Lepisosteus oculatus: one gene and its partners. The protein of the gene in region 1 interacts with the protein of each later gene in a pairwise test. Links are inferred from orthologs where the notes say so. Each region holds a gene or a part of one and is shown in the gene's direction. Other genes may lie near its edges. The genes, in order: erbb2, fgfr4, pdgfra and ezrb.

Region 1 (7,335 bases):
ACAATTCCAGTGCAAGTGTGTGCTGGCTGGGGTAAGTGTGCAGTTCAGCGCTTCAGTGTCCTTGAGGAAGTGTGTGTCCTTGGGTGGACAGTGTGTGTTTGACAACTGAGATAAACTGCTTTGAACTGGGAGACAGGGAAAACAGACATCTTTGTGCAGACTGTGAGCAATTCAGTGTGTATTGTTGAGCAGTGAGGCTGCATTGGTATATAAGTCTATGTTGGAGTGTGTTCGCAGGATAAAATTAGTGGTGAACTGTACAAAGTCTGCTTTTTTAACAGAAAAAAAGGTATTCTCTCATTTCTTTGGGGGTGGGGGCAGGATGCAGTTCACTTTGAGGACTTTGCAGTTATACTTTGTACTTGGTGCAGCTACATTATACCTTGTAATTGCAAACTGTTTTAACAGAGTTAAAGTCCGTTAAATTCATACAACCGATTGTGCAGAACAAGGTAACTAGTATGACCCTTTCTTTACATACTAACCTGTGTGCTCACAAATGCAGAACACTGCCAGTTTGTCCTGGGCAGGTGATATGTCTGAGTTGTGTGATTGTATGTGTGTAGGCTGCTGTATCCCTGGGAACCCTGTGATTGATCTGGGAATGTGTGTGTGTGTCTGTCCCTTGCTGTCCGGGATCCTGAATGCTTGTGTTTGCGGTGCAAGAGTACGTCTCCACTAAGATAGTAGGATGATAGATGATGTGGATAAATCTAGCAGCTTTCAGATACAGAGAGAGAGTGAGACGGTGGACAGAGAGAGGGGGGAGATTTAGGATTGAGTCAGGGGGGCAGGATGGCAGAAATTCGGACTGACTCACTTTGGAAGGTGGAGTGGAGAGGATTGTTTCCTGCATACAAAACGTGTCAACTTCCATTCCGTTTTGACGGCCACAAACCTTAAAAGAGCAAGTGGGCGTCCCTGCAGGTGTCCCCAGGTCTATATATATATAAATACCCGAGCCCTTCCTAACCAGTTGGCATGCCACCAGACACTTTGTGCTCCACAGCGCCCCCTCTCTGCTACGTATGCACATTGTCATTTTTTTCTTCTCTTTGGGAATGATGAACCTGTATATATCCAGTGTTGTATCCAAAAAAAAAGGAGCTTTAAAATGCAAACGAATGAGAATCCAAATAAATAGTCTTCTGTTACTTCAGCTGCCATTTTTGTTGTGTTTTTTTAAAGTCACAGCACCTTCCAGGAGTTCGTCTTTCTCTTAAACTTGTTGTGGGTGTTGAGGACTTGTGTGTTGTAGTCCTGCAGTATCAGGAATGACCAGGGCACAGTGTTGAGAGGCACGAAGGTCTCGGAGAGGGCATACACACACAATACCGGTCCAGGAGGAAAGAGATTGTCCACATCTTGACCCCAGTCCTTTTCTCTGCTGTGAAGAGAGGTGGGTAGCCGATATGGTGGCCACCAATGACTGGCCTTGTTCGTATCTTACAGACAGTACAATTCAGGGGTGTGGGTCAACACTGTTCAGGGGCCTTTTTAAAGTAAAATGAACTTGGTTCCCCAGTTTGCCTTATGAGTTATCACCCATAGTCAACAATACTTAAAATGCGTCCTCAGTGGTCACTTTCTTGGGGTGGGGACTGAATTGCAACAGTTTAGCAGGGGCTGAAAACAGACCTGACTGACGTGTGAGGTGTTGTCTCCCTCCATTTATTTGTGCACTGAGTTTAAAAACAAACCCTAGCACCTCATCGCCAACGTGTCATGTTCTGCCAAATAACTAAATATATTAATGGTGTGCTTTGTAAAAAGAAAACCCCTACAGACAAGCATCCTTTCTTTAGCTTTTGGAGTATTTTAATGTTTTCCCTGTCTTCTCGTGTTCTAAATCATACATAAGTAAATATTACAACACCAAAAGGAATTTCAACCAATTCAGTGGAATAGAATACATATAAAAAAACACGTCTTCTTAAAACACACTGAAGTGCATGAAGCACCCAAAAAAAAATATTTTTTTTTACAACAAAAGTCTTGTTCACGCCGGAAATGGTCAAAAACCAAACAAATATGATTCTACCAATACCTTTACGACGCTCTCTTTAACTGAGGTAATCACCTTTTTGTAAAAATAACAATAGCTATAAAAAAAAGGATCTTAATGACCCTTCGTAGCTGAGTATTACAGACTCCGATGGAATTCGGGGGTGTGCTGTAACATTTGTAACATCATTTAACACTGTAACTAACGTGTAACATTTGGGAAGTATGACCGTGGATCTGTACAGAAAGATATACACATATTTGACCAGGCGTTATGGTGTTTTGAGAAAACTGTGCCGAGACCGCTACCGTTACAGCTCGGACCGGCGCCGTCGCCCGGCATCTCCCACCCACCCGCGAGCTGCTCGAGCAGTTCACCGTCACTAACCCCCCCAAATAAAACTTCAAGAGGAGGTGCCGAGCGCTGGCCAGCTGAGTTGTTTAGTCTGACTAGAAAGTGGAAGTCAAGGGAATGTCAGCCACAGGGCAACGCCGAAAATGAGCAACTTGTCTCCTCCCCAAGCCCAGCGCTGCGCGAAATCGACGCTCTGTCCAAGCGCTCCGGCCTCCAGCTCGGTTTTTATACCTCCTCGCTAACAGTAACGATCATTGCCATCAGTTTGATTTTTTTTTGGTATAGAAAAATTGGAGGTCTTTTTCCAGATAGCCGAATTTTATTTCCCATGCCAGAATGTTTGAAAACATCCTGATCAGAAGGTTTCTTATTAGGACAATCATACAATAATACATTGCAGCCTGATTGTCACGACAAAGCCGAGTAGGTGGATAATTGATTTAATTACAATGATTAGGGGAGCTCAGATAAATCTCGGTAGATACTGTATCCGGTATTATCTTTTTTTTTTTCTCATTCTCTTAACGATTTATTTTCTGTATATTACAGGTGCAGGCAGACATTACCTAGACAGGTGTCAGTTTTCGCAGTGCGAAGTCATTTTTTCACCTTTAGCCTAATCCGCGTCTCAGGCCACAACTATATTTCCACGTAAGAGATTTGTCACAGACGGGCCGTGATCCCTCTCCTTAAACCCATCTGAAAAGACCACCAATGAGCAAGAGATGTTTAGAAATCAATACTCCCACGACAGTGCGCGAATACAATACCCCAAATTCACAATAACTGTAGTCAGAAGTGCGACAAAACTAAGATTTCTATACAGTCCGGGGTGAAGAACTGCAGCCCGACTGTTTCGTAAAGCGCTCTCTTTTGAAAACGGAAAAAATTCCAGTTTGTCAGCTGTGTTCGGGTTGTCACCCCTGACACCAGTCGGGTTTATAATGAACTCTCAGACAATGTGGTTTATTATTAGCTGTACAACATCTCAGAGCCGCCTAACCGCCGGAACGAGACAACGGGTGTCACTGGGTGTAATATGATACAAAGAATGACAAACTGCCGCTGCTCGCAAGCTGCTGTCAGTGTAATTGAATTTTAATTAAAAAAAAGTAACGCAAGCAAGACATTTAAATGGAAATTCCTGGTGCCTGTAAAACGAAACGCGAGGTCTGACATGGGAGGGGTTTGAACTGAATTCCATTCAGGGTGTGAGTTTTTAACTTATTATTTTTAATGTCGATTAAAAAGAATCTTGGGTCTGCGAGTGAAAAATGTCAGTCCAAAGACTAAGATATAGGGCAAGCTGCCATCATTTTTGCAAGAATAGAAGAACTGCACCGTCTAACTTGTTCAAGACATTTTGCTGAGACGTACGACGATTAGAAAGTTGTTAGCCGTTTGCACCTTGCTCGTTGGCATACACCGGCGGGCAGTTTCATGACAGGAGAAACAGAATGGGAGCTTTGTTTCCTGATTAACGCTAGAATAACAAGGACTATTCAGAACAGTCACCTATTAATTTATCTAAGCCGGGAAAACAAAATCAAACATTTAACGCGATACGAACGTCGTTATGATAGCTGGGTGAATTAATTCAAAAATAAGCGATATAAGTAAGTTCAGTCGCCAGTGCAGAACAAATGCGCTTGTCTGCATATCAATAATAATGATAATTTCAGATACTGTTTTGCGTGGGCGGCGTGCACAGACTAGGGAATTTGAACATGGAATCCGAACATTTGTAGCACCCGATTAGCAGCTCGCCCAGTCTCTGTCCCCGTTTTCGGAAGGGTCTTTTTTCCTTGCTGGGGTTCCTCTGCCCAGTCAGAGACAGCCGGACAGGGAGAGAGAGGCGGACACGGTGCCTGCACCAGCACCACCACCACCAGCAGCAGCAAGCTGAGTGAAGTGTGAGGCGGGTCGGTCTCTCGGCTCAGTTTCAGCTCTGCCACTCCCAGCACGGGCCCCGGGAGCGCGCTGCGCGTCACCCTCGCCTACCAGCCACAAGGAAGGGATACAGCGAGTGAGACAGGGAGTAGGAGTGGGGAAGTGCTGGGATATTGTTTTTGAAATCGACAAGGAAGGAGAAGAGGTTCTTGGAGACTGCCCGTTCTTAAGTTTCGACTAAAACCGAGGCGCCCGGTGCTCGCTATGGAGTAGAAGCCGAAGGCGATGGAAACGCCGTGGAGAAGTTTGCTGGTGTTGCTCGGAGCTGCGCTGGTCGTGACTGCGGGCACACGGGGCAGGGAAGGTGGGTTGACTTTGAAACTTTCATTTCTCTTCAGGGCCACGAGAGACGAGAGAGGGGAGGGAGAGAGGGCAGGAAACGCGGGGGGAAAAAAAACTCTCGGGGGAGACTTTGTGTCCCCTCGATTCACGTTTTCCCGAGCGTGAAACTTTTCTTGCGCGACTCGAAAATAACTTTCCAACCCCCAGCCGCGTCGCGCCGCGCCGCTCTCTCCCACATTCGGTCCAATTCGTGGGGACTTCCCTGGATGTGTCAGTGCGATTTCAGGCGCGATTTCAGGACGGCTTGGGTGCTGTTTAAAACTCCGCTTTCTCGAAATATGTAAACACTATAACTCGAAGCCAAATACTTAAAGGAGGTGTGTTTGTGTCGGGAAGGGGAGTGTTAGAAAATACTCACGGCTGCCTGAGAACCTGCTTTGCGACTCTGAATGACGACACTCGAGTGGAAACAGAATAATCCTAATAGCGAAGAAGAATACCTTTCTGTAGTAAACAAACCCGTATCCCGTCGCCAGTATAATCTTGGAAACCAGTCCTGACACCTAATAATTACAGCCCCGAACTGCGGCGGAGATGCCGCAGAGAAACGCCAAGTTGTGTATTGACATATAAGCTAATAATAAACTAGCCGGGCTTCAGATTTGTGTGAAGTATCGATTTCAGAAACAATTGTATAAGCCTATTTCGAAATACAGACGTTGAGCAAACTTTGTAGTCAAATAGGCTATTGGCTACGGAATTTGAACTGAAACACTCCACATCTCCCCTCTACAACCCTCTCCAGCGATGCAGCACTCTTGTTGTGCTTGGGCACAGTCAAAACAAACTTATTCGCTGCTGATATCTGGTTCCAGGTTGTGCACAAGGCGGTGGTGATGTGTGTCATATTCTTCAAGTGAGTCTGTAAGGTGGCATTTCCTGTTATCCGTGAAATAATAATAATAAACTTTATTTTATATAGCGCCTTTAAAGGTGGCTTCTCAAAGCGCTTTACAGGATGACAATAACAATAAATAAGAAGACTACAACAATAATTAAGAAGATTTCACAAGATAGGACACAATTATAATTACAACAATACAACAATAACAATAGAGGAGACCGTGGAAGGTGGTACTAAGAAGAGCAGAGGGGTGAAGAATGGAACCAGTTAAGTAAAGGCTTTTCTGAAGAAGAAGGATTTGAAGGAGTTTAGAGAAGGTGACTCTCTAATATCCTTGGGCAAAGAGTTCCAGAGCTTTGCCCAAGGATGCAGTTGTTGAAATGCAGTTGTTTTCTTACTGACCGGGCACTATATGTGTCGGCTTTATTTTCCATCCCAAAATATTAAGCCTACTTTTATGGCAAAAAGTCTTTCCATGGAGTTGAGTGTTTTGAAACCTTTCCTTTGTAGAGACGGTTTCCACCATCTTTCCCTGTGGAGGCCTGTTCTGCCACCCTGAGCTCAGGCACTGCGTGAGCCTTTTTAACACCCTGGCTGTTGGAAACGCTGTAGTTTTGAAATCTCGTGCCCAGTTCTGGGTCGCACACTTCCCACTGGTTTTTCCCAGAGTCTCTCCTCCATGGAGATGCAGTCCCATTGGCACTTCCAGTTGCCAGTTGTTTTTTTTTTCTAAACAGCCGAATCATTTTTTTTCTATTTTTCCGTTTTTGCAACAGCCAACTTGTTCCTGTGGATAGAGTAATTTCAAGTTCCGCAAACCCAAACCCTTTTTCCCACAATCTTTAAAAATAGGTTTTAGAGCCTGAGAGTCTGTCGGCAGGATTCCGACGGGTTAGTTATGGGATGCAAAGATTCCCGCTGTCGTTCCCAATGCCTGAAGGAAAGCAGGGAAGTATCTAAACGGATTCTGGGCATAATGATTCCAGATGGGCTTCTCAGCACTGCGCAAGGGCGATTGTCTTCCCCTAAGCATTTTTCAGAGCTCCTTCTGGATGCTGAGGATGTTTTCAGCAGCCCTTTCCAGCTTCTCCTCTGAAGCTAAGAAGACTGACCCTCAGCTTCATGGAAGAAGACATCCTCTTAAAATTAGCAAGCGGTCATTTTTCAGCACAGAAGATGGTTATAATCTCTTTTTTTATGTGGCAATATCTTTTGCCAACTGGACTGTGATTTTAGCCTGCATTTGGCCAGTCCAGCATTGTACCAGACGAATTGGTTTCCCTCTGTTTTTCCAGCTTAAACTCTTCTGGTCTTTCCAGACGTAGGCTTCTATGTCCTGTACATGCCAAAAAACCTGGTGCTGGATATTTGCCAGGGTTGTCTTTTAATAATGGTTAAGTGGGTCTCAGAGCTGTAGATAAAAATATGATAGATGTTGTTTTCAGTCATGGGTATTTTTTTCTACAAAATCCTTCACCTAATAAATCCTCAAATGGATCAAAACAGATTTGCTTGGCTTGCAGTAAAGATGCGCACTGCCCTAGCTCTTGTGGATTCTCATTGGCAGACACAGTTTGTCACAACATTTGCACATTTACGCCACCAGCCACCTTTTTGAGTGACTTATCCTTGGCAGTTTGGTTACAGTGTAACGCCAGTAAAAAGGGACATGTTAACCGTCTCCTGTCCAGCAATAGGTAACCTATTGTTATTTATGCGTAGTGCTGCCTCTAAAGGAACTGAAATACCATTGCTTAAGCTTCCTTGTTTCCTTGTTTTCCTTCATGCGCTGTCTTTATTTTGCAGAGCATTGTTTCCTGGTGGGCCGTTTTTGTCTTGA
Region 2 (7,911 bases), on another chromosome or scaffold:
CTTTATACATACATTACAATTCTGGATCTTCATATATAGAGGTGTTCTGAAATGATAACGTGAAAATATCATGTTGGGGGACTTCAAAATTAACTATCATCACTACTGTGGCATCACACATCAGCCTCAGAAAAGCACTCAACTTCTGTTTTAGGCAAAAGACGGTTAATTTATAAGGCAGAGTACATCAGGTTAACCTTGGGTGTGAATCAGAAAACCTGTGAAAGGAAACAAAGGGCAGGCAACACATGCAAAATAAAATTGATTGCATCGCCCGAGTCATTATCAGACCAGCCTGCGCTGATGCCATTCGTTTTCAAGCTCAAAGAAAACGGTGCAATAACCACCTAGCCCAGCAATTAAGGTGGCAAAGTGAAGCTTTAAGGAAAGTTCGTCTTTTGAGCCGGGTGAATGCTGGAAGGGTATACACTGGAAAACAGAAGAGCTACAGATAATAGGCTTTAATGAGGCATTCGGACTCAGGCAGCTGGAACAAAGGGCTGGCTTTGGGATTGTGGAGTGTGTAGAATCCGAAGAGCAGGGAGGAGGGGATTGTTGTGGCTCTGATTGTGTGATTTAATACCAACTGCGTGAACCGAGCCAAGGGGATTTTGTTTTTGGGGATTGTGTGTGTGTGTTTGGCGGGGGGCGGGTAAAACCTAAATGTCCTCCGCCAAGGGACCCGAGAGTCCTGGCCGAACTCTGGTCAGACTCGGAGCTGCACTCCCGCCGGGAGGAGGACAAGGCGAAGATGAGGACGATGATGAGGAGGAGGATGGATGTTCCAACATTCGCTTTTTCAGGTCTCTTCAGAAGACTCTCTAGTAACGGGGATGCTGTGCGGATGTGGGCGTGAGTGAAATGAGTTTGCCGGTGTGTGCTCAGCTGGGAAGGATTTAGCCTGCAGAAAGGAGGCTCAGGGAGGAATACCTGGATTATCCAGAGGGATTTACTGCTCCAATTCAGAGCAGCACTAATCAATTTCAGGCAATCGGCACCATGCACCCCCCCCCAGCCCACACGAGCCAGCACAGCCTTCCCAGTACGGCTCCTTCTACATAGTGGTTTGCCCAACACCCCTCATGTGAAACACATCTCTGTCTTAAGGAAAATCCAAGCACTTTCATCATTCTGATGTAGTAAATCTGCTTTAGAATCTGACACAATTACTCAAACCAAGATTAAAAAGGAAGCTCCTATCACTGTAAAACCCTCTACAAGAACAAAACCAATTACTCTGCAGCTTGCCGTGTAAAATCACACTACCAAACGGATATCCAACTTGTCGTGAAAAGAACGCGGAGCGCATTTGCTCTCAATGTTGCGGCGACTGTAGTAACGCTTTCATGCGCACTGCTCAGTTATATGTGGTGATCATATTCCTTCCACGGAAAAATGTTGCCTTACACCACTTTCAAGTCTTAAGACAGATCTCCAAGCTTATAAAAAGTATTCCAAATAAAATATCCATTGTATTCGACTACAGTTTTGCAATGTAACGGAAGTCTCAGGAAATTTAAGGGTGGTGTTTATAACTGATGTTTGGCTTCATCTGTGGTATTTCATATGGGTTTGGCAGTACATTGCATTCTACTCTTTGAAATGTAAGAAATAAGGTTATCTTTTCAACACTTTCTCTGCTGTAAAAACATAGGACATATCAATCAAGCAGTTGCGAAAGTCATTCTCTGCCTTTCCCAAAATCCTCAACTTTTAACTTGTGCATCAAAAGTAGAAGCGGATATGTTATTGCAATGATACCAGTTTGCTTTTTAATCTTGGTTTGGGTAACCGTGTCAGATTCTCAACAAGGGCACGTTCAGAATCTGATAAAAATGCGTCCCGGGCACGATGCGATTGTATTTTAGAGGCTGATACGGTACAGAGAGGAATCTGCATATCCTTTTCAGAGCGTGGTTCAAAGCAAGTAGGTACAGCGCAAGCTGGAGAGAGAATGTGGTTACTGGCAGTCAGCCACACCATGACACCATTGTTTCTGATGAGTGAAAGATATTCCCCTCTCATGCAGAAAATTATTGGCAAAGGCCTCAGACCTGCTCACCACATCTAGCTTGCGGAAACTCTGGTGGGTGCTGCTGGTTAGAGGCTTGTATCACTGTTACCTCTGAGAGGCAGTGTGGGCTTCTAGCCCTACACCACCTCGGCTTCGGAAACAAACCCAGTCTCAAGCTAGATCGCCCCCCCCTCCCCGAGGCTCGGGAAAGGTAGGACCTCATTCTCACTTCACACCAGTTCAATTATAACCCTGCCTCCACTGATCTAATTAAAGAAATCCTCGCCGTTTTCCTTCATTGGTGCGATTTTGAGAGCTGTTTGGGCAGTGCTTTTATGCTTTTGCTGTGTTTCTCGCATGAAGTCACTCTAGCTCTGCTGAGAATTGCTCGGGTTCTGTCTTCACTGCAGTCTACGACTCTGGACCAGGGGAATGGTGAGATGTTCTGAGCCAACAATGACCATGAATAATGTTTACTACAGTAGCCTACAGCTCCTAAGGCCTCGCCAGCAAAGCGAAGGCCTACTATAAATTCAAGACATCCACCGCAACCACAGCACAACTAAGATAATGTCATGGCAAAAGAATGAAAATACTATAATAAATCTACCGAGTTGATTTATTACGGATTGTCTTTGGCATACTGCTGTTAGATAAAATCGTTCATATCCAGCTAAGATCGTTTGAAGAAACTTGCCAAGGAGAAACTCTGAAACTCATATTTTTATGTCTGCTTCCAGTTTCACTAGGTCCTTCTAGGTTCTAATCAGCACGCGAAACCAATCTCGAGACCCGGGAACAACGCTGAAAATAACACATGAGTATGAAAACAAGGACAGCTTGGCTTTCTCGTTCAAATCAGCCAACAATAACAAAATCTAACGATTAACAATAACCATTTTCCGAACAGATTCCACTTACCAACCCCACATCAAAGTGTTTTTGGAGTGATTCATGTCAACGCAAAGGATGTGCCAGCGCTGTTTCAATACCAGTCAGTTGGTTTCCCATAATGTATGCTTCTCTGCTTTTCTGTGTGCTGCTGGCTTCTTCATATTACCGACTTCGGGCAGAGCAAACTTTCAGGACAGGATGGGCTTTTGTGGTAGAAATCAAATCACTTCTTCACTCACTCAGATGTTTAAAAGATTTGATTTCCTATCATTACTCGTGAACTAGATTTACCAGGCAGTCAAGCAGGACAGCAAGAGAGTCGTTGTGAGTTTGTGTGTGAATGTCTGACAGGATCAAACAGCCGTGTGTATTTGCTCAAGGTAAAGGTTGTGTATTCATTGGTCTGTTAATCTAAAAACAAAGTGACTGAGGGAGAGGTGACAGTCAAAAATAAAGAGTAAAAATGCACAGGTCTTAGGCTTAGTCATAGGCTAACCCTGGAGACCCTGAGAATTTCTGACTTTTATTTTGTATTTCATTTCACTGTCAGTCACATCTTGCTACAAGTGCTGTGTATCACATAGGACAGTTTCTAGTGCATTTTTGGAGAAAGCAAAAAGTGGATGAGTCCTGCTGTACGTAAAGTAGTCTTTCAGTATAGTACATACAACAGGACCTCTCCCTGAATCTGACTTAGAAACAGTTTAATTCCCAAGACAACATGCAGTATACTGCACTTCCTAAGAGAGCCTGGAACAATTGCAAGGTTACTGATGTTGTGTACTGACCCACTGGTTGGAAACCTAATCTATTTTCTAGGGTTTTTGTAATAGGAGTGACTTCTACAAGAATGGCAATATAGTGTAGGATTCAGATTTAAAAAATAAACCTATAGTGTTTTTGTTTCAAATGAAATACAAAATTGAAATCCATCAGATACAGCGATAAAGATACGACATAAATTAAACACCACCCATCTAGAGATTGATTTTCTAAAAGAATGGATTGCTCGGAAATGAGCACGAAAGAGATTATCCGTGTAGAATAACATTTTCGACGGTCAATAATGTCGTCAGTGCGGCACTTTGTACTGCTGTATGTTACTTACAAATTCAACTTAAAAGTTAAACAGTGACGAAATGCAGAAAACGACGAGCTCTGTGTGTGGAATACCGGTAACGGCCTGTAGGCGTGATGCATACACGAACCTTCAGATTCAGCACTTCATCGCTTAATAAGTCTGAAGTTACCAATAAAAGAAGCTTCCGATCGGTTTGACGGACTTCGCTTTGACCTACTCCGGGTTCTGCAAAAATCTGCTAATGGGGATTTTTTTTTTGGTAAAATCATTCTCCACAATAACGGAGAAATTGACCGACAATATAACGTTTTAAAATAAAAACTACACACACTGCATAAAATGCAGGGATGTCCACAATAGTGAAGTTTAGGAGTAGGACAATTGCCTATGATGGGTGCTATTAGTGTCAAGCATGCTTTAGTGAATTGTATACAGTGTACATACAACACATGAACTGCTTGTACAGGTATGATAAAAAGGCACAGAACTATTTTAAGACTACAAACACACACTTAAATCTTTGGGGGGAACGAATATTAACCATTGTGGTCTCGGATTCTACCGTCATTTTATAGAATATCCGACGCAACGCTGTTTCTCTCCGTTTCAGTAAGAAAATAAATGCATTATTGCCAACATTTGTTTTTCTAAATTGCAAGCAGAAAAGGCCCGGGCTGTTGGTCCGTTCGGCCTTCATTTCCAAAGTTACCGTCGCTCAGAAGCAGCAACTATTGTATTCTGGCTTTCATTAAGAAAAAAAAAAGGGTAATACATTTCTCAACTACATTCCGAAGAAGCGCTTTAAAAACGGACGAGTGAATGAGAGTCGTTGTGCACACAGCACATCTTAGGTTTGGATTTGGCGCTTGGATGCTGCGAGGGGGGTCTGTGAGGGAATTATTTCGGGGGGAGGGTAAGAGAGTCATTCCCCCCTCCTCTTTCTCATTCTCCTTTAAGTCTATTGTTGCGAGTCTTGTGCTTACACTGCCCGGAGCTACTATCAGTACTAAAATGCTCGGAGCGGCTTTGCGCTGTAACCGGAGAGTCGCTAATTGAGAACCCTGGACCTTCTGGCTTCCTCCCGGACGAGCCATTAGTGAAGAGATACCGAGCAGAGCGGTGCACAGACTCCGCATCTGCTGCGTCGCTGCAGTCGATGTCGTTTTTTTAAATTATTTACGTCCCAAGTCCTGCAGCAGGGGTGAAAAACAGAAAGCCTACACGATCAACACCTTTCAGCGGAGCCGCGGAAGACAAGCGAGAATCCCGGAGAAGGGCAGGAGGAAATGTTGTTCGGGGATTTGTTGTTTGTAATGGATTTTGCTATGTTTTTTTGCTGGGGCTTTTGACTCCTGAATTTGCGTGTTTTGTAAGCTGTTGTGTTTTTTTTTTTTTGCTTCAACCTACAAGGAATCGGTTGTTTTTTTTATTATTTCGGTCTGGAGAAAACACAGCCAGGACGCTGGACTTGTTTCGGACTTTGCACTCAGTACCAGGGTGTCAGTGCCTCCGGGGACTCGCAATTTCAGAAGCTAAACCGTAGTGTTTGGGGATAAATCCGTGCAGCTCTTTTCTCCCGGAGGAGGAACACTTGAGTACCCGAAGCTCGGGTGAGGCCGCAGAACTCGGGACCCAAGTCCTAAATGGGGATCCATCTCCCCGATGTCTTGGAATTGTGATTTATCGAATTATTGACTCATCGGTTCGCGGATACGCCAACAACCCAAGATACCGAGGCAAGGTAATTACAAATCTTAAACCATTCCCACCTTTCCGTGAAACATGAGCTCTGAAACAAAATTAGGACTTTATTTCGTGATGAGGGATGTTTATTACAGGGCTTTGAGCGAGGTGCCTCTTCGCTGTGTTTTTAATTCTCGTTTTTGAGAATGACGACTGTGTGTGCGCTCGCAAGTAAGCGTCTCCCCGACCAGTTACGCAGCCCGTGGGGGCTCTAGTTGTGTTGCAGAAGGGCTGGTGTTTAATTATAGGTTTCCTCGGCAGTTTGGAGCGAAGTCTCAAGTGCTCCGGCTAATTTTGGAGTTTCAACCAAATTCCACAGACCGGTGACACCGCAGCTGCAGTCTCTCTAGACTCCGGTGCTTACCGACCTCTCTGGACATCTCTGCCTCTCTGTCTCGTCAGATGTTTCTAAAAACAGAAGTGAGGTGGGAAAAAAAGTCGTTTTCCCTAGACGGGTGCGTGTCCCGTAGTTGGATGAATCAATCACTCGAGCTGTATGAAACAAACGTTGCGCGCGTCCTTTCTATGTCCAAGAGCAATACGCTGTAAAAATGAAAACGAATACCTGAGTTGATTTGAAAAAAATAAATTAATAGGACGAGTTAAATTGAAATGAACACCCAACAAGGTAGTCGGTATGAGGCCAGTTCTAAACTCGCCAGCCGGCGTGACTTAAAAAGGCAGTGGACTCGGTATCCAGTGTTTGCGCAGTAGTTAAAATTTAACCAAAGATACAAGTTGGAAAGGAACAGAGCTAAAAGGACCCCTGCCTTTGATTTACGGTGGATGCAGAGTCACCGAGGGGGGGGGCTGCTAAATTTAGCCTGGGCTAGTAGTACAAAACTGTGTGTTACCTTGACCATCGAGTCACGTACTGTAGAGCTGGGCTCCGGTCGCTTGCGTTTTTCTCTCTTGTAGCTCCGAGACACGTGAAGTGTGGACTCACCATTTTTTTTACCATTGGTTTACTTCAGCTGCCTTGGCACGCCTAAAAATTATTTTTTTAAAAAAAGAATAAACCTTTGTTGAGTTTCCGGTATTTTTTATTACTGCGAGCTAGGTCTCGGTTAGCGTACGTGCGAATGTGAGCGTAACGCGATGGGTTGAAGTGTTGAAATACAATATCCCGATATCAGGGCCATAGACGATGAGACATCCTGAAAGGCATTGAATGAAATGATGCGAAAGTGACACGAATTCTGATTCTAAGCCATTGTTTTTTCCCCAAAAAAAGTCGCATAATTTTATCGAAACACGCGATGGCCAAGTAGCTGGAACAAGTCACACCGGACGCTTCTGCGCTAATCGCCGGGGTCTGCCCTCGCACTTTTAACGCTGTTTACTTGGTACTCCTTGGATTAAAAAAAAAAGAAAGAATCCCATCCCCATCTTTCCAAGCCCGTGTCGCCGTGGCAACGGCTCTCGGGCTCCCCTCCGAGCCCTCGGCTGGTGCCAGGGAGCGACAGTCAACTGCACTTTCTGCGCGCTGTGATGGGAGGGCGGGGCGGGACAGACGTGAGACAGATGGCAGTTGCGACAAGTGAACCGAGCCTGGTTGTGTTCCCTTGATAAGATCGGAAAGGCGCTGGCCGTGGCCTTCTCCCGGCTGTCCCGAAGGGTCTGTCCGCTGTGAACTGTACAAAGCACTCTTGAGGCGAAAGTGTTCTTCGGCGGTGTTGAAGGGCATTTTTTTCCCATGCAACACCCGACACGACTTGCAGTTAGCAAAATGCGAGAGAAAGCATAGATATCGGAATAAATGAGCGTTAATCTGTGTTTTTTCCCCCCTGTGATTCGTGATTTTAGAGGTGTGTGGTTACATTATTTATATAGTATATAAGTCCTAAGTGCACAGTAACGAGAATATGCTGCCAAAGATGATCGGCCGTACGCCACAATGCACGGACTGTCTCTCACAGTGTTTTCTTTCATTAAACATCAACAGTGTGCAGTCTGTTTGGTGCTGGGGTGTGTTTTAGGTGAGAAACTTAGTTTAGAAACTTACAGTTTCTCTGGAGAAATGGCCATTAGGAGCAGCTCTTTCCTGGAGCATGTTTGGAGTGAATTTCTTACACAGGAAAATACTCCAGAAAAGACTTGTTTTCTCCATAGTGGCTGATCATAAGTGAAACTAAATGTCGCAGAACGTCAGTCAGCTGTCCTGTCTCTGGCTGCCTGC
Region 3 (7,097 bases), on another chromosome or scaffold:
CGGTGCCGCTGGATCTTTGATGATCGCGGATTGAGGACCTCAGTTTAATTTCTTGCCCGGAGCACGGCACCTCCTGCTGTGCAGAGTCTCGGTCACCACACTGATTGATTTGAAAAGTCTTGGGGACAGTCTTGAAAAGAGGGTTGTTTTTTTATCAGAAGACCAATGACAGTTAATTCAGTTTGATCCTGAGGGTTTAGAAACGATGCTGCTGCATTTTTGTATCGGTTGCTTTGAGCCACCACTGGGGTCTGTTTGCCTTTTGCTCTTTGGGCCAAACTCAGCCTTGACCCATCATCTATGGAGCTTCTGCCACAGGGAGAGAGCCATGGTACCATGCTGTCTGAAGGCTAAAGAGGTCCAAGTTTGTTTAGATTCATTAAGATAAACAAATCACCAGAGGGGTTCCAGCTACATTTTGTAAAAGTGACCAAACTGGTGTTAAAATATTTTAGCGCTCAGAGCTGAATTAACAGCAGACTGTTTGCTGTGTATTCCACCAAGGGAAAGCATGTGATTAATTATAGAAAAGATGCAGAAGGCCAAGTAAAGGTTTATTTCATGCTAAAAAGAAAAGAAAAGAAACATGTTTCGGGTGTGGAGCCTTCTTCAGGTGTCATTATAGAAAGGGTGTCCAGGGACTTTAAAATGAGAAGATATTACTCCAGTGTCAAGCATACCCCATGTGTAATATACTTTAAATCGTTTGTAACCTTATTAACATTCACAACGTGCAAATGACTGTAGTAGTTCAGGTGGGCAGCTGCGTCAGCATGTGTAGGCTGCAAAGGAACAAGTAATAGGTTTATTCCATGCTGAAAAAAAGAAGAGAGGTGCTCACACCTGAAGAAGGCTCCACGGCTGAAATGTGTTTTCTTTCTTCTTTTTTTCTGCAGGGAATAAACCTATTACTTGTTCCTGTGCAAATGACTGATCAATTGAAATGCACACCAAGTACGTGATTACCTGAAGCTGAGCGCTAGACAGTAGATGTCTGGAGAGGTCTGTCAGATATTAAAATACAGCAGCCCTGCTGGCTGCACTAAGATCTACTGTACCCTCTCTTATCATGAGTAAACCTCACGGCCATCAGAAAGGTGACATGTAGGCAGACTGCCACAGACTGAGCTGGAGTCTGGAGTCTGAATCCTGTGCCTCTGTGGTACTTCTTCCGCCATCAGGCAAGATGCTCGGCCAGAGGAGAGAGGTGAGGCGGTGGGGAAATCGTGCAATTAACTAAAAATACAGCAGCCAGAACATTCATCTCATATTATACATTTTTAAGGTTCTCCAGTTAATGTTTCAGCACTTGTTCGAAAGCTTACTAAGGATGAGAACTCCAAGCACTCGTGTTAATAACCACACCCGCACGTTTTATAGTTCAGCCTCCACCTTCCAGCTAATTGCAGCAACATTTTCTCCCAGCGAGCAATCCTGTGCTCAGCACCCCAACGGATTTATCAGAAGGCGTAAACGCTTGTGAACCTCAGTCAGGAAGAAGTTAATGAAAGCTGCAAAGTATCAGATTCGCAATCTGACCAGGACTCATCAAGCCTGTTCCACTAACCCTGTGTCCTGCAGAAACGGCATCTCCAAAGAAGAAAATTAATCAGGAGCTCTACAGAGAAAGAATGAAGCAATGGGAAACTGGAAGGTGATAAAGGGAAGAGAGGAAGGATGCAGAAAGACTAATACGCACAAGAGAGTGAGGCTTGCGACTGTACTTATAGTATTTCGGGAAGTGACGTCATGGAAAAGTACGAGTTGGAGCAGCAGAGGTGAGGGTGACTTTGGGTGCTGTCATTCCTACAGAACTTTCATTAACACTCATATCGTTATGGGACATCGCGAAGGCTAAACGTCCATATCAACGCGAATAAATAAATAATTATGCATCAACATTCACAGATTAAAGCAGAGGCGTTCTTCTCTGTGCTTTGAAATGTTTTTTGTATGTTAATATTTTTTACAAAATTGTCGGTGATACATTTTCGTTAAACCTTTCATGACTACAGTCCTGGCAAGGGGGATGTTTGTTCACTGTCCAGTTTGTGCACACTCAGAAGGGTATGCGAGGCTTTTCGATGAGGATTTCCAAATTACCCGAGGCTACTGTAAAAAAATACAAATAGATCTGGAAGAATAAACAGGTTATTCCATGTAATCTTCAACTTTAAAGGACTCGCGGTATTTCTGGAGTTGGCTAGGGACGTGTAATTGTTATAGAAGTAAATCATACTTGCAGAGACGGCTACTAATCAGAACTTGAACGCCTACTTACAACTATGCAAGTTTTACAATTTACAACTTCTTATAAGTAATTCCCCATTGTTTTGGTTTTAAAATGTAATCTCCTTGTGCACGCAACTCCAGAAAGTTTTCTGTCCAAATGCTTTACCACAATGTTTCAATCCAATCTGAACGATGAATCAATATCTGAGTTACTGCCACAGTCCCATCTGGGTTTTTGCTCGTTCGGAAATCACACTGTTGAAAAAGGGACAGAATATTCAAATTTAAGACACGTGTGACACTTCCTCCCCTATTCTATATTTATAACCCTCTGCATGCGCTCCTGCGCTCAGTGCACATTAGCTATTTATAGGCTACTTATAATTAAACATTGTAATCAGCATCAGATGTTTTAAGGCAATTTAATTATCGTAGACGTTCGACTTTTTTCAAATGTGCAGGATATATTTGACTCTAAACAGGCAGGTTGGAAGGAGTCTGTATGGAGCTGTTTGTCTTAATGGTTTGTTCATGTTTTAGGTTTATTGATCAAAAATACAAAGTCCTAAAATGCCGATTTGAACATACCCTTAAAAAAACATATTACCAGGCAATACTAGTTTCGAAATAATACGGTACCCAGTTAGTATCTAGAACAAGGGACTGTTCATAGCTGCCTTTCCGGGGAACATATGGAAGTAATAGCCGGGCTCTGCATTTTTAGAGTGGAAGATCTATGCAGCTTCGGCACAGAGCTACAGGCGACGGGAGTGCAATGGCTAAAGGGCGGGAGACAGGGACCCGCTCGGTTTCTGTAAAGGGGTTCATTCAGGGCGCTTGGGCTTAAATTCATTTAAACCTTAATTAACATGCAAGAATTAATTGCTCTAATTGCTCTTCCCCGCCCTCTTTCCGGGGTTTTGCATTAGTAAAGAGAAGGAATGGAATTTGGTGCGAAATTAACGAAAATTTAAAATATATGTTTATTATATTTTATTTTATTATTATATACATTGTGTATTTTTATGAATCAGCCGGAAACCAATAATAAATGAGAGAAATTTAAACAGAAGTACAACAGAAGTAATTTTGAAAGAAGTGGGTAGCTTGTAAGGTCGTTTTTAGTAGTTTGTATTTTCCCTGATATTCCAGCGCCCTCTGCCCTCACGAATTGTAATAGCAACATATGGGATTAATTCTACAGTTGAAGGCGACACACCAGAGATTTGGTGTTTGACAAAAAAAAAACACTCACGTCCACCTTATACTTAATGCTGTATTTTTTGTTCTTCTAGGCTGTGCGGACGCGTTGTTTTACATTTTTGCATTGCCTGCTAGTTTTACCGAGACGAACTTTGAATACCGTCTGTCTCTGCTTGAGTGCATTTAAACATGAAAAATACTTGCTTTCGGATTTATAGATTGTTAAATATTTTTAACAATGGGTCAATTGTAAAACTGTCGAACAAGTTTGTCTGAAATTAAAAATTCACTATAATTTGTCACACGACCATTTTATCATCTTTAATTTTCGCCTAAGCCAAGCCCTCTACGTTTTGGAGAATAAAATTACATATAAGCATGCCACTCACAAGGGTAAACAATTGTTTTCATATGAATGTAAACTTTGCCTTGATTCAGAAGGACTCCAAAAAAGTCTTATACTCCACCCCCCCACCAAAAAAAAAAGAAGAGACCGATTTTTCCTGGTAGTACTATGGCCCTCCTCCCTGTGTAAAAAGTTTTAAGTGCAAAGTTTAGCGAAATCCGACTCCCGTTTCGGTATGACGGTGAGAGCTCCGACTCTTATTTTGAAAGCGACCCGAGGGGGGCTCATTTCCTGATACTTATTTACTTTAAGGCAGATGATTAGTTTTTTGGGGAAGGATGGACTGTTACATTGAATCAATTACAAGTCGTTGTGCTTGAAGCCCATTACTAAGCTCAGCCGTGGAAGCAGGAGGTACAGGGCACACATCAGTTTCTCTTGACCGCTCTGGATTGTGGATTGCGCTTTGTGGATTACCTCTGAAAACAGCTAGCGAGACCTTCGGGAAGAAGATCACTGGATCTAACCAAGCATCCATGAGACTGTAATCCAGTCAATGTTTTCTTTAAGGAAATAAAGAGAATTTACAAGGTATTGTAACTTATTATTTTTAAGGTAATGCAAACCTCTGCGGTTCTAAAGGGTCCATTTTATCGATTCTAAAAACCTCTTCCTTATTTAATTAACTAATTGCACATTATTATTAAAGAGTTATCATAATCCGTATACTTTTTGTTAGTCAGAACGCGTTGGTTTATTGAAATAAAGCAACCTTTTAATTTCAATCAAAGCAAATGCACATTTTGGTTTTACAATTAGGATGTGCCTTGTAATTAGTAATTTAATTTAACTATTAACTAATGAATTGTCTAAAATCATAGCGGGGAACCGCAGGCTTTTGAAGCTCCAAAAACTAGCGTACCGCTTGAAATGGGATGTAATGCAGAATCCTAAAAAACCGAAGAGGCTCATCATGAAGACGAGAAGGTTTCCGAAAAGCAGAAAATACTTTTGAAATAATAATAATCGGACGGAATACAGGTCATTCAACATTACACGGATAATAATGTTTCCTCCACATCGGTCCGCTGGAGCACTGCAGAAGATCCCCTGGAAACGGGTGGCGAAATGGAGAAAACCCCGATCTCTTGTTTCACAGTGGGACGATTCACATCAGGAGGCTCGCTGGGTCTGAGGGATGCGCTGCAGGCTGTCATGGCAAACACATTTGAGACTGGATGTGAAGTAAATTAAAGTCCCGCAAATGGAATTTAAAACATTTTTTTTATGGAACAAAGGTTCGTTTGGGATGTTCTTTTGGAATGGATAACTGGAACCAAGTAACATTAAGCCAAAGGGAACTTAAAGCTTGGAAAATGCAACTATAAAGGCTGTGTTTTAACATTTGGGTTTAACTGAAAAAAAAAAACGCATTCTATTTTTTTTTCGTTATTCCGCTGTAAATAGTGGTATTCTGTTTTTTTACAGTCAGATTGAAGAATTCTCTTGATTTTCTTCCGTCTTCGCTTTTTTTTTAATTCAACTTCTACGAATGGTGGGGATAGTTTTTTCCCGTCTTTTGGGAGTCCAGGTTTGAAAACTCTGCCTTCCTTTATGTTTTTGTCACGTCTGGGATGCAATTAAACAGCGAAGGCTTTGTGGAGAGTAACGAATTGAATCAGTTTATTATGATCTTTTGAGGACAAGAACTGAGACTTGGGAGAAATTTGCGGCTGTTCCTAAATTCGTTAGTCTACCTATAGTAACGCAGAAGAAGACGGGAGTCTTACGGGAATTCCTTTCCATATTCTACCGGCATCGTGACTGCGATTCCATGAGTATTTCACGGATGATTCATGAAATCTATTCATTAAAATATAACTATATCCACATGGCAAATTGTACCGAAATTGTCGAAACTAATTAAATATTTGTCACATTGAAGGAATCTTAAACAGGTTTCCCGGGGGGGGGAGGGGTTGACGGACGAAAATGCACTAAGAAAAAGTATTTTCATTAAATTCTCAACACCCCGGGATTTGCCAAGCTTAATTATTCTCTTTGCGCTCATCTGAAGAGCAGCTGCACAAAATACCATATTTCTTAAACGGCAAAATGCGGAATAAAATTAATATTGGACTTCATGTTTTTTTTTCTGAACAAATTTTACATTGTGTGCAGAATGCTCTACTCCGAGGGCTCTGTACGAAATTGTTATACGCTGCTCTATATTGAAATACACGCAAACTTCTAGTACGAAGTTCAACTCCAAACGGAGAGTGTCGGACATTTCCCAAATTTCTAATGCGCTCGATATCGTAATCATTTTCATGACAAAATCCAGACGTAAAAAGTCAGGATTTGTGTTCCCTATGGTAAATGTAACGATATTTGACCTTAAAGGAGCGACGACAACAACAACAACAACAACAACAACAAATTATATCTTATTTTCTGGCATTCATATGAATAAAATAAAATATGCATGCCCGTGTCCGAATCAGTTAATGTGACCAAAATAAGCAGCGTTTAAAATACATAAAATTGTTTTAGAATTAAATGAGTTTGATTTTTAACATTAAAATACTCGTTCAACAAAACCGACCGAGGGCGTCAGGCAGGCGAAAGCGTGGTGAGGTGTTGTGCTGGCTGGCGCGGGCAGTCTGTGCGGCGTCTCGTCCCGCAGCCCGACAGAAGACAGGGGCTCTCGCAGCGGACTGATGAAACACAGACACCGCCGCTCCGGCTGGACCAGAAACTTTCAGGATCGGACAAGGATAGCCAGCAATTCAAGCATTAGCTTAGCCTCCTTCATCATAATTAGACATTACAACATGACCAATTCAACCTACTAAATATTCGTCTTACTTGCCCTTTCACTACAGGTTACAATAGATGTAGCCTTTAGTAAAAAATAACAGCCTTTAGAACATGAGTTCAGCTGACAAAAAGCTCATACACATTTGTGATGTAGCGTTTTAATTTCGTGTTTTATGATTTCACACTTAAGATGTAGGAAATGAAGGAAATATTTTAGGTCGACTGTATGAATGGTACGACATCTATGCCATTTATTAAACGTTTTCTTAAGTTTATTGCCCTAGGTATTTACTTAGATATCACATCGTTTGATCGTTGATCTACCGCCTAAAATGGCATTTCAGAACACTGCAAAATAAGTTTATGCATCATGTAAAAATGTGTTGTCAAAATCTTGTAACGTTTCTGTTCTTCCGCCTGGTAAACAAATATCGTGCTGCAGCGCCCTCTCTTGGTATTTATAATGTAATGGCATCATTTTTACAAGCAGAGTTAT
Region 4 (7,985 bases), on another chromosome or scaffold:
ACATTTATATTGATGTAGACTGTGCTAGAGTAAGTCTGTTTAACTTATATTATGTCACAGCTATGTCAATCGATCTATATATAGTATTATATACTGTATGCTGATATATTTTGGTTCCAAAACACATTGTTCGTTTTCAATGACTGTCAGTATACAGTACAAACTCCAAGTGCAATGTACAATAAAATGAAATTGCTCATCTGGCTTAATATACCCAATTGTTGCTCGTCATTTGTATAAAACAAGGATTATAGATCTCCCACGATAGATACCGTTTTATAAGGAAACGTTTTGTGAGCCTTCCTTTGTTCCTCCTCCCTACAGTACACGTTATAATGTAGTCTACATTATTAGGTCGTATCGCCTGTTTTTCTTCTGCGCCTCCAGTCGAAACACAATGGCGCTATTTTATTAACATTGATCTTGATCAGAGTGCAAGTAAAACTCTCGACCACAAGTCTAAGCGTACTGTACATCCCGCGTTCATCAACCTGTTGCAGGCAGGTCTAATTTGCGCTGCTGGATTTACAGCAGATATATACAGATCTATTTTAATCTTGTACTGCTATTGGCTATGTCCGGTTACGACACCTCCCCACCTAGATCAGAGTTCCACTGTCTTTGTGTCATGGGCGTGCATTTGCGACAGGCACTGCTGGTCAAACCCTTTGAAACTCTCACGTAATACAATTAGAAACGCAGTGGTATGGGTGTAAATAGACGCTTGCATCACTGCAGAAAAAAAGTTCGCTAACGGATCAAAAGTTGTGTTGCTATGATCCTGTTTGTTGTGCTAGTAAGGTTTATTGAATATGAATTTGCAGAACGCCCTGCCACACTGCGATAGCCAGATACACCACAGAAACGTCAAAGCAACCCGGATGATTGGGTTAAACATTATTTTCTAGTTTTGGAAATAAGAGGCTATACCGTTAAAGCTGAAGTCAACAAAGAAAATTGTTAATTATAATAAACTAAATCAAATTAAAAGTCTTTATAAAGTATTTTTACTATCTGTGACAGTGAAAGGGGTGTGCGGTATTCTTATCAGTTGGCTGAGATTTTCTTGGACCTGGATTGATTCTCACCGATCTACAACTTTGATTGCTCATTCTTTTTTCACGGAAAGATCATCTTTTAGGTGTGAATGGAAATTAAAGCCCCCAGACTCACACATATATATATATATGTATTATATATTTGTATGCACAAGGCAAAAACATGCTTGAAAATTGTTTTTTTTTTTCTTGAAGGTTGCATTTAATCACTTTATCTTTTTGAATTTCCTCTGGGCTATATAAATATATGCAAAAGGGGGATATGCTGATGGCTTCAACAGAAAAACTGAATCCTGAGTTCATATAAACCATTTAAAGGTTTGGAAACTGTATGCAGAGAGGGTAAGGGAAAAAACAGTATTTTTTATTCTTTCTCACTATAAAGTCAAGATTCACTAAAGTCTTCGATCACACGATGAACGTCTAGGTTTGGTATTTGCTCATTATTTTAGAAAATCTATTTAGAAAATCTATTCAGCTTGTGATGTTGTAAGAATGTACGTGCACTGTGTGGTATGCTTAGTAAGATTCAAACAGAGACATTTATGGGATTATGCATTTTTCTTTCCAAAAATACATGTATTCTTAAATTGTTGTGTGTTACCCTGTCATGTGTCCTGTCTGTTATTTATTCTGTACCCAGAAGCAGAGTAGCCCTGTCCACATTTGGGGCACCTTTCCCCCAAAATTGAGAGGTGCTGTGGCATCTAGGAAGTGTTGTTTTGCTGGTAATAATAATAATTAATAATTGCTTACACTTATATAGCGCTTTTCTGGACACTCCACTCAAAGCGCTTTACAGGTAATGGGGACTCCCCTCCACCACCACCAGTGTGTAGCATCCACCTGGATGATGCGACGGCAGCCATAGTGCGCCAGAACGCTCACCACACATCAGCTATCAGTGGGGAAGAGAGCACAGTGATGTAGCCAATTCATAGAGGGGGATTATTAGGAGGCCATGATTGGTAAGGGCCAATTGGAAATTTGGCCAGGACACCGGGGTTACACCCCTACTCTTTTCGAGAAGCACCCTGGGATTTTTAATGACCACAGAGAGTCAGGACCTCGGTTTTACGTCTCATCCGAAGGACAGCGCCTGTTTACAGTATAGTGTCCCCATCACTATACTGGGGCATTAGGACCCACACAGACCACAGGGTGAGCGCCCCCTGCTGGCCCCACTAACACCTCTTCCAGCAGCAACCTTAGTTTTTCCCAGGAGGTCTCCCATCCAGGTACTGACCAGGCTCACACCTGCTTAGCTTCAGTGGGTTGCCAGTTGTGAGTTGCAGGGTGATATGGCTGCTGGCTGCTGGTAAGCTTCATATACACAGTAGTATGGGCTCATCCAATTACTACTGCATAAGAAGCAGAAATGTTACTACAAAGTTAAGAGACAACTACAGATATTGTACCAATATCAGCATTTCTATACATGCTGTTTCTGAACCTTTATAATAATGAAGACAGAGTAGCAGTGATCAGAGAAACCAAGATATGTCATACGCAAGCTGATTCATTAAGCATCACACACGCCCTCCCTGACTTACACAGCTTTCCTTTTAAAATGAGAACACAATAAGCTGCCACCACACCTTGACAACTTCCCCATCAAAGGTTCACTGCATGTTATCAAAAACTTTTCCATTTCTGTTCAAAGATAACAATATTCTAGCAAATATAGCATTAGAATGAAGAAGAATTAATATGTTTTCACTCCTGCATTATTAGTGAAAATTTATTTTATTTTTTTGCGGGGGGTGATCATCTCTGGATAAAGGCATAATATTGTTTACAGATCTGGGTAAAAGGATGATTATAAGAAATTGTATAATAACCAATACAGACTGACATATTTCTGTATGTTGTTCGTATATAATGCCTATTTACTGTATAAGGGCAAGGAAGAGGAAATTTTGCCAAAGAGAAATTTTCAAATAAGCATACTGATTATAGTAGTTTCTCGGGCCCAACCTTTCCTTCACAATCCCTACAAGCAGTTCTGTGTAAATGTGTGCAGTTCTTTTAAGAATCACCTTGTCTGATGATGATCATGGGTGGTTCATGGGTAAAGCATGAAAGTGTGAAATGACCAAACCGATATCTAGATTTAAACTCTGTTAAAACCCTGCATCTGATAAGATGAACAGAAGGACTCCTGAATCCAAGCTATTCCACTGTTCAAACAGGTCTGAACAGCAAAAGAATAGAAGAAGTACATTGTCAACTGTTAAAAGAAACTGAACCTATGAGTTTTACATGAGCTAGCATGAAAAAAAAAACATTTCAAATAAAAAAATGAAACAAATGGAGCCATGGGATATGAATAAGATAGCAGCTTACTGTATTTGTATACATTTTACTTACATTTAACTTACCAGTGAGAGTGATTACAAATCTCTGTGTGGAGAAAATTAAAACGTTACTGAGCAATAATTAAAATAAGAGGTTGCACATCTTTATTACAGATTAGTGTTGACCACTTATAGCACCCTCCATACAGTATGTACTGTACCTGTGATAAACAGTCACTACAAGTTAATTTTGCAAGGGAAAAGCAGAGGTGTACACAAAGATTTCCCATCACTTATGATGTGAAAAGCAGGACTAAATATATCAAAAGCATACTTATAAAAATAACAACAAAAATTTAAAATGCCTAAAGTTCAAATTTATCCATATTTTGTAAATATGATGACAACAAATGTTTCAGCTTTAATCCTCTAATGTTTGTAGTTCTGTGGTACTCTAACAAATCCTCAGATGTTTTACATAAACCTCTAGAAGTTTCTTATTCTAGTATTTGTGTAATACACATCAACATACTAAACATGAAAATACTCATGGTTTGTAGTTTTCTATCTTACATATGTAAATATTCAATATATTTTGATAACATTTGTGTAAACCATTCTTTTTTAGGTCCTGCACCATTTAATTATTTCTGAAAGGATTGAGTGATGATCACATTTTCTTCTTCAGAAATCTAAGGAATTTCAAGGAAAAAATTAACTCCTTTGTTATGTTTACAGGTCACTAAATGGTTATTTGAGCTACGGTAGAGGTTTATCACCTCTAAAAGTAGACTAACAATTCTGACAAAGATAACCTATTCAGTGAAAGTCTGTATTACGTTGCCTGTGGGTTTCTTATTATCAGTCATATTGTGGCTGTTTCTACCACAAGAAGTATGTTTACTTTACTACTTCTAGTTTTATGAACCTAATAATTGCAACTAATATTTCTTGACATGACAGACACGTTCTATTTCAGCCATGATTGATGTGATTATTGGAGATGATTGATTTTTACCTTTCTATAGTGAGTAAACAATTCACACATGGCAACGAAAGTCACTGCTCACCGCCCTTTAAATTAAAACAGGCCTTGTACTGATAGTGCTGTGTACAACATCATTTGTTTCAGAGGAGCTTCTATCTTGACAAGATAAAACGCAAAAACTTGTGAAAGATGTATTATGCCTTATTGTAAGGTGGTTTCCCTGGATCCAGCTGCTGCACATAGAAACGCATAAAACCACACACGTCTCGATATCAGATGAATTCATCGTTTATTTTTCTTTCTTAAGACATTATGTATTACATTTTCAAAGTTCGCGAAAAGTTTAGTCCTCAAGATTGTTAAAGTTACCATTCATTCGGTCGTAACTTTTTATTTATATGTACCGTAGGCGAGGCAGACATTTCAACCAGACGTCTGCCGGCTATAGTCTAAGAACACTGTAGGAGATCATTAGCCGCATGAACTCTTCGTCTTCTTTGTGTTCTGGTCTCCCTATTCACTTTCATTTATTTATTTAAATTATTCTCTCGAGCTCCACGGATGTTGTCAGAGCTTGTTGCTGATAGGAGTCGCTGTTGGATTCGCCCCAGCGGTGACAAAACAGGAACCCAGGAACAGGGAGATAGAAATGAATAGAGCACTGTAGGACAGAATGAGTGGGTCAGCCATATTGCAGTACCGCTGACTTCAGCCGAGGGAGGGGAGTTTTCGAGGCTGCGGCTCGTCAGTGATTCTAATAAAATCACACCTGCTTCTGGTAAGATAATTTATTAAGTTATATTCAAGCGAATACTTTACTGTTTTCGTAAAGTCTAGCGGGATGGTGGAGGTTATGTTACACAGCTCTGTTTTGCACTTGTTAGGTTTTCAAAGGAAATCTCTCAACAGGTGTTACAGGGATTATTGTGGGCTGTGGCTAACTGCTGAAGGTTAGGTAAACCAGATTATTTTCTCTCAATTGCTCAACCATTTGGGTAAAAAAATGACGCATCAAGGTTTAAAATATGATGGCTTTTCCTTAAAATGATTGTATTCCTCTTCAGGTGAAGCTCTTAGATTTATCTCGCAGGCTTGATCTGGAGAAAAAAAGTTACGGTATACGTGCCATTTTAAGTAAGACGTTATTTTGAAGGAAAAGTGAAAGAAATCTGTTACTAGTATCTGTCTGTATGTCTGTGCATAAACCTAAATAACTAAATGTACGGATATATCGATACTTACATTTTCTTTCGTATTGAAAATGTATTATTGTAAAGCTGATTTGCTTGTATAGAATATTAAGCACGAACACTTTTTAGTCCTGTAGCTTGTGAATTTCAAGGACGGGATCGAAAGTAACCATTGGTAATCATTTCTCCTGTGAAGTTGCACTTCAGTCTTTCTCCGTACGTGTTGTTACATTGTCAGCAGTGTGTCTATAAAACGCAAGGACGTCGGAGTACTTTCAGTTTTCGCTTAATGTATTTTAAGTTTTCTATCACGGTAGCCCTTACATTTATTAATGGTGGCGATATATTTGGTTGAATTTATTTCTGTGCGTCCAAGGGTCACACCTTTGGAGGTGCTGAGGTAAGTATTTACCAAAAAGGGTGGAGACTGAGCGACCTTTAACTAGTGGTATTGCACACTGTCGGACGTCTTTTTTTCACTTGGGTGAGGCCCGTTTCTAATCAGGAGTTACATACTTAATAATGATTCATAAACGTATATCCCACAGGTTTACCTGATTTTCTGTCACATTACACAAGCTGAACGGAAGAACAGATTTCTTCTGATAGTTTCTGAGGTCTCTCAAACTTATTCCTCTACATTTTTTCAAGAGGAGTATTTCGGAGGAAAAGTCGTCCGCGTTTGGCCCAGAGTATTGAAAGAAAACTTTACTGAACCTCTGGTGGAACACATACAGGGAACCGAATATGCCAAAGCCGGTAAGTACTTTCATTTATCAAACAATACCCTGATGGAACGTATTTTATTACACAAAAAAAAACGAGTTTGTATATCCGTGTATTTAGGATATTCTTCAATGAATGTCATACTCTTTATATTAATATACTAAAGTTTATAGCTTAAATCACGTTCTTTTAACAATGAATTATTTGAAAACAATATTGAAACTCTGCTATATAATAATGTGTATCAAGATGTGTGCAATGTTTAATATGTCTAAATTGAAAAGTATAAAAGAAAAGCAGTTAAACAACTTAATCTTTATAGAAAAAGACTTAAGATAGTTCATCATATTTATTAGACTTTTAGAATAATGTTTGGATATTCTATATTTCTGAGCTGAAAGAGACAAAATAGGTTTGATCGGTGATTTAAAGGACATTTCGAGCCAACACAAGCAAAGGTAAGCTAATTTGCAAATGTGTATGCAAGGCATGAGCAATATTTTATGGAAGGACCAGATGTGTGGCTTTTCTTTGGATTCTGAAGTCCAGTTAAGATCATGTAGCATCTTGCCTTCCACAGTTTATTGCCTTATTATAAAGTATAAATTAATATTATATTTAATGTCATTAATATGTTACTGATATTACATGATTAAAGTTACATTTCAGTATAATATTGCATATACAAATGTTTTTACTTGTTTTTAATAAGGTTCCATAGGTACAGTATATGAGGAATCATTGCTCAGATGTGAATTTCAGGATGCCCTGTTTTTCTTTAAGTAGAGATAAGGATACTGTGTGCTTTGGTTGAAGTATTTCCAGATTAGTTCAACATTCCCTGACAGTTCCTCAGAAAGATTGCAGAGGTTGTTAATACAGGATTGATGTTCAGTGAAACTAGAGCATTCAGGGACTTAACTAAAAACAAGGCTGATCTTTGTTTCATATTCTGTCTGAATCTAGAAATATCTTGTGTTTATCCTCACAAGACATTCTGAAAATAATTAAATGAAAAATAAGTTTATTTTGTTAGATTCTACTCAATTGATTACACCAAGGCTATCCCTATCAGAGTTTAATACTCTTTGTTGTTCAAGTTGCAACAGAGAGCATTTAATGGGTAAATAAAGAACAGTTAAATAAACGTATTTAAATGAATAAGTATGTACTTTCTGTTAGAAGCCTTCAACAAAATGCTTAGTAACGTGATTGACAAATCCATCTGGAGAAAGGAAGAAGAAATGTGTGCGAAAAAGTGGATTTATGTTCTGGCATTGTATCAATCAGAGTGTAATCTCTTATGCTACTAATTCTCCATAAGTAGTTTCAGTAATTAAACTGAGGGATTAATCTCATGCAGTCAAATCAAAACTATTCCACAACTTTTTGCCTTCTATTGGAAAAAGCAGGAATGTGTGCTCATAATTGTTCTTGTCCCAATAATTATATGAAAATAGTTTTAGGTCCAAATGGAGTTTCTGCTTTTTAAAGATGATATGCTAAGCCAACAAGAATATAAATGTAGTGATATTATTTATCAGTAACTTTAGTGTGACCTCTGCCTCTTATTCTTTTGTCCTTAAATTGTCATTTTCTAACATGCGTTGGCATGACAATAGTTGTTGTCAGAGGAGTAATAACCTACAGCACATTTGTCTCATTTATATGCCTTACAGAATGGATTTTGTGTTCTATGCTGTAGTTCCTCACATCTTGAATCACT

Evidence for each region.
Region 2: the proteins of erbb2 (region 1) and fgfr4 interact in a protein complementation assay, tested with the Homo sapiens proteins (2 studies listed by BioGRID, with this or other methods). The link is inferred for Lepisosteus oculatus from reciprocal best matches to the Homo sapiens genes ERBB2 and FGFR4.
Region 3: the proteins of erbb2 (region 1) and pdgfra interact in a protein complementation assay, tested with the Homo sapiens proteins (2 studies listed by BioGRID, with this or other methods). The link is inferred for Lepisosteus oculatus from reciprocal best matches to the Homo sapiens genes ERBB2 and PDGFRA.
Region 4: the proteins of erbb2 (region 1) and ezrb interact in a protein complementation assay, tested with the Homo sapiens proteins (2 studies listed by BioGRID and IntAct, with this or other methods). The link is inferred for Lepisosteus oculatus from reciprocal best matches to the Homo sapiens genes ERBB2 and EZR.

Annotation. Positions count from the first base shown.
Region 1 is NC_090723.1:5,670,390-5,677,724, reverse strand, and holds the start of erbb2 (receptor tyrosine-protein kinase erbB-2), read left to right. Parts: upstream 1-4,319; 5' UTR 4,320-4,534; coding exon 4,535-4,613; intron 4,614-7,335. UniProt on the Homo sapiens protein: Protein tyrosine kinase that is part of several cell surface receptor complexes, but that apparently needs a coreceptor for ligand binding. Essential component of a neuregulin-receptor complex, although neuregulins do not interact with it alone.
Region 2 is NC_090706.1:39,850,109-39,858,019, forward strand, and holds the start of fgfr4 (fibroblast growth factor receptor 4), read left to right. Parts: upstream 1-4,905; 5' UTR 4,906-5,730; intron 5,731-7,911. UniProt on the Homo sapiens protein: Tyrosine-protein kinase that acts as a cell-surface receptor for fibroblast growth factors and plays a role in the regulation of cell proliferation, differentiation and migration, and in regulation of lipid metabolism, bile acid biosynthesis, glucose uptake, vitamin D metabolism and phosphate homeostasis.
Region 3 is NC_090696.1:78,516,361-78,523,457, forward strand, and holds the start of pdgfra (platelet-derived growth factor receptor alpha), read left to right. Parts: upstream 1-4,094; 5' UTR 4,095-4,372; intron 4,373-7,097. UniProt on the Homo sapiens protein: Tyrosine-protein kinase that acts as a cell-surface receptor for PDGFA, PDGFB and PDGFC and plays an essential role in the regulation of embryonic development, cell proliferation, survival and chemotaxis.
Region 4 is NC_090697.1:44,087,940-44,095,924, reverse strand, and holds the start of ezrb (ezrin b), read left to right. Parts: upstream 1-4,981; 5' UTR 4,982-5,121; intron 5,122-5,206; exon of another isoform or gene 5,207-5,298; intron 5,299-5,831; exon of another isoform or gene 5,832-5,933; intron 5,934-6,184; 5' UTR 6,185-6,280; coding exon 6,281-6,292; intron 6,293-7,985. UniProt on the Homo sapiens protein: Probably involved in connections of major cytoskeletal structures to the plasma membrane. In epithelial cells, required for the formation of microvilli and membrane ruffles on the apical pole. Along with PLEKHG6, required for normal macropinocytosis.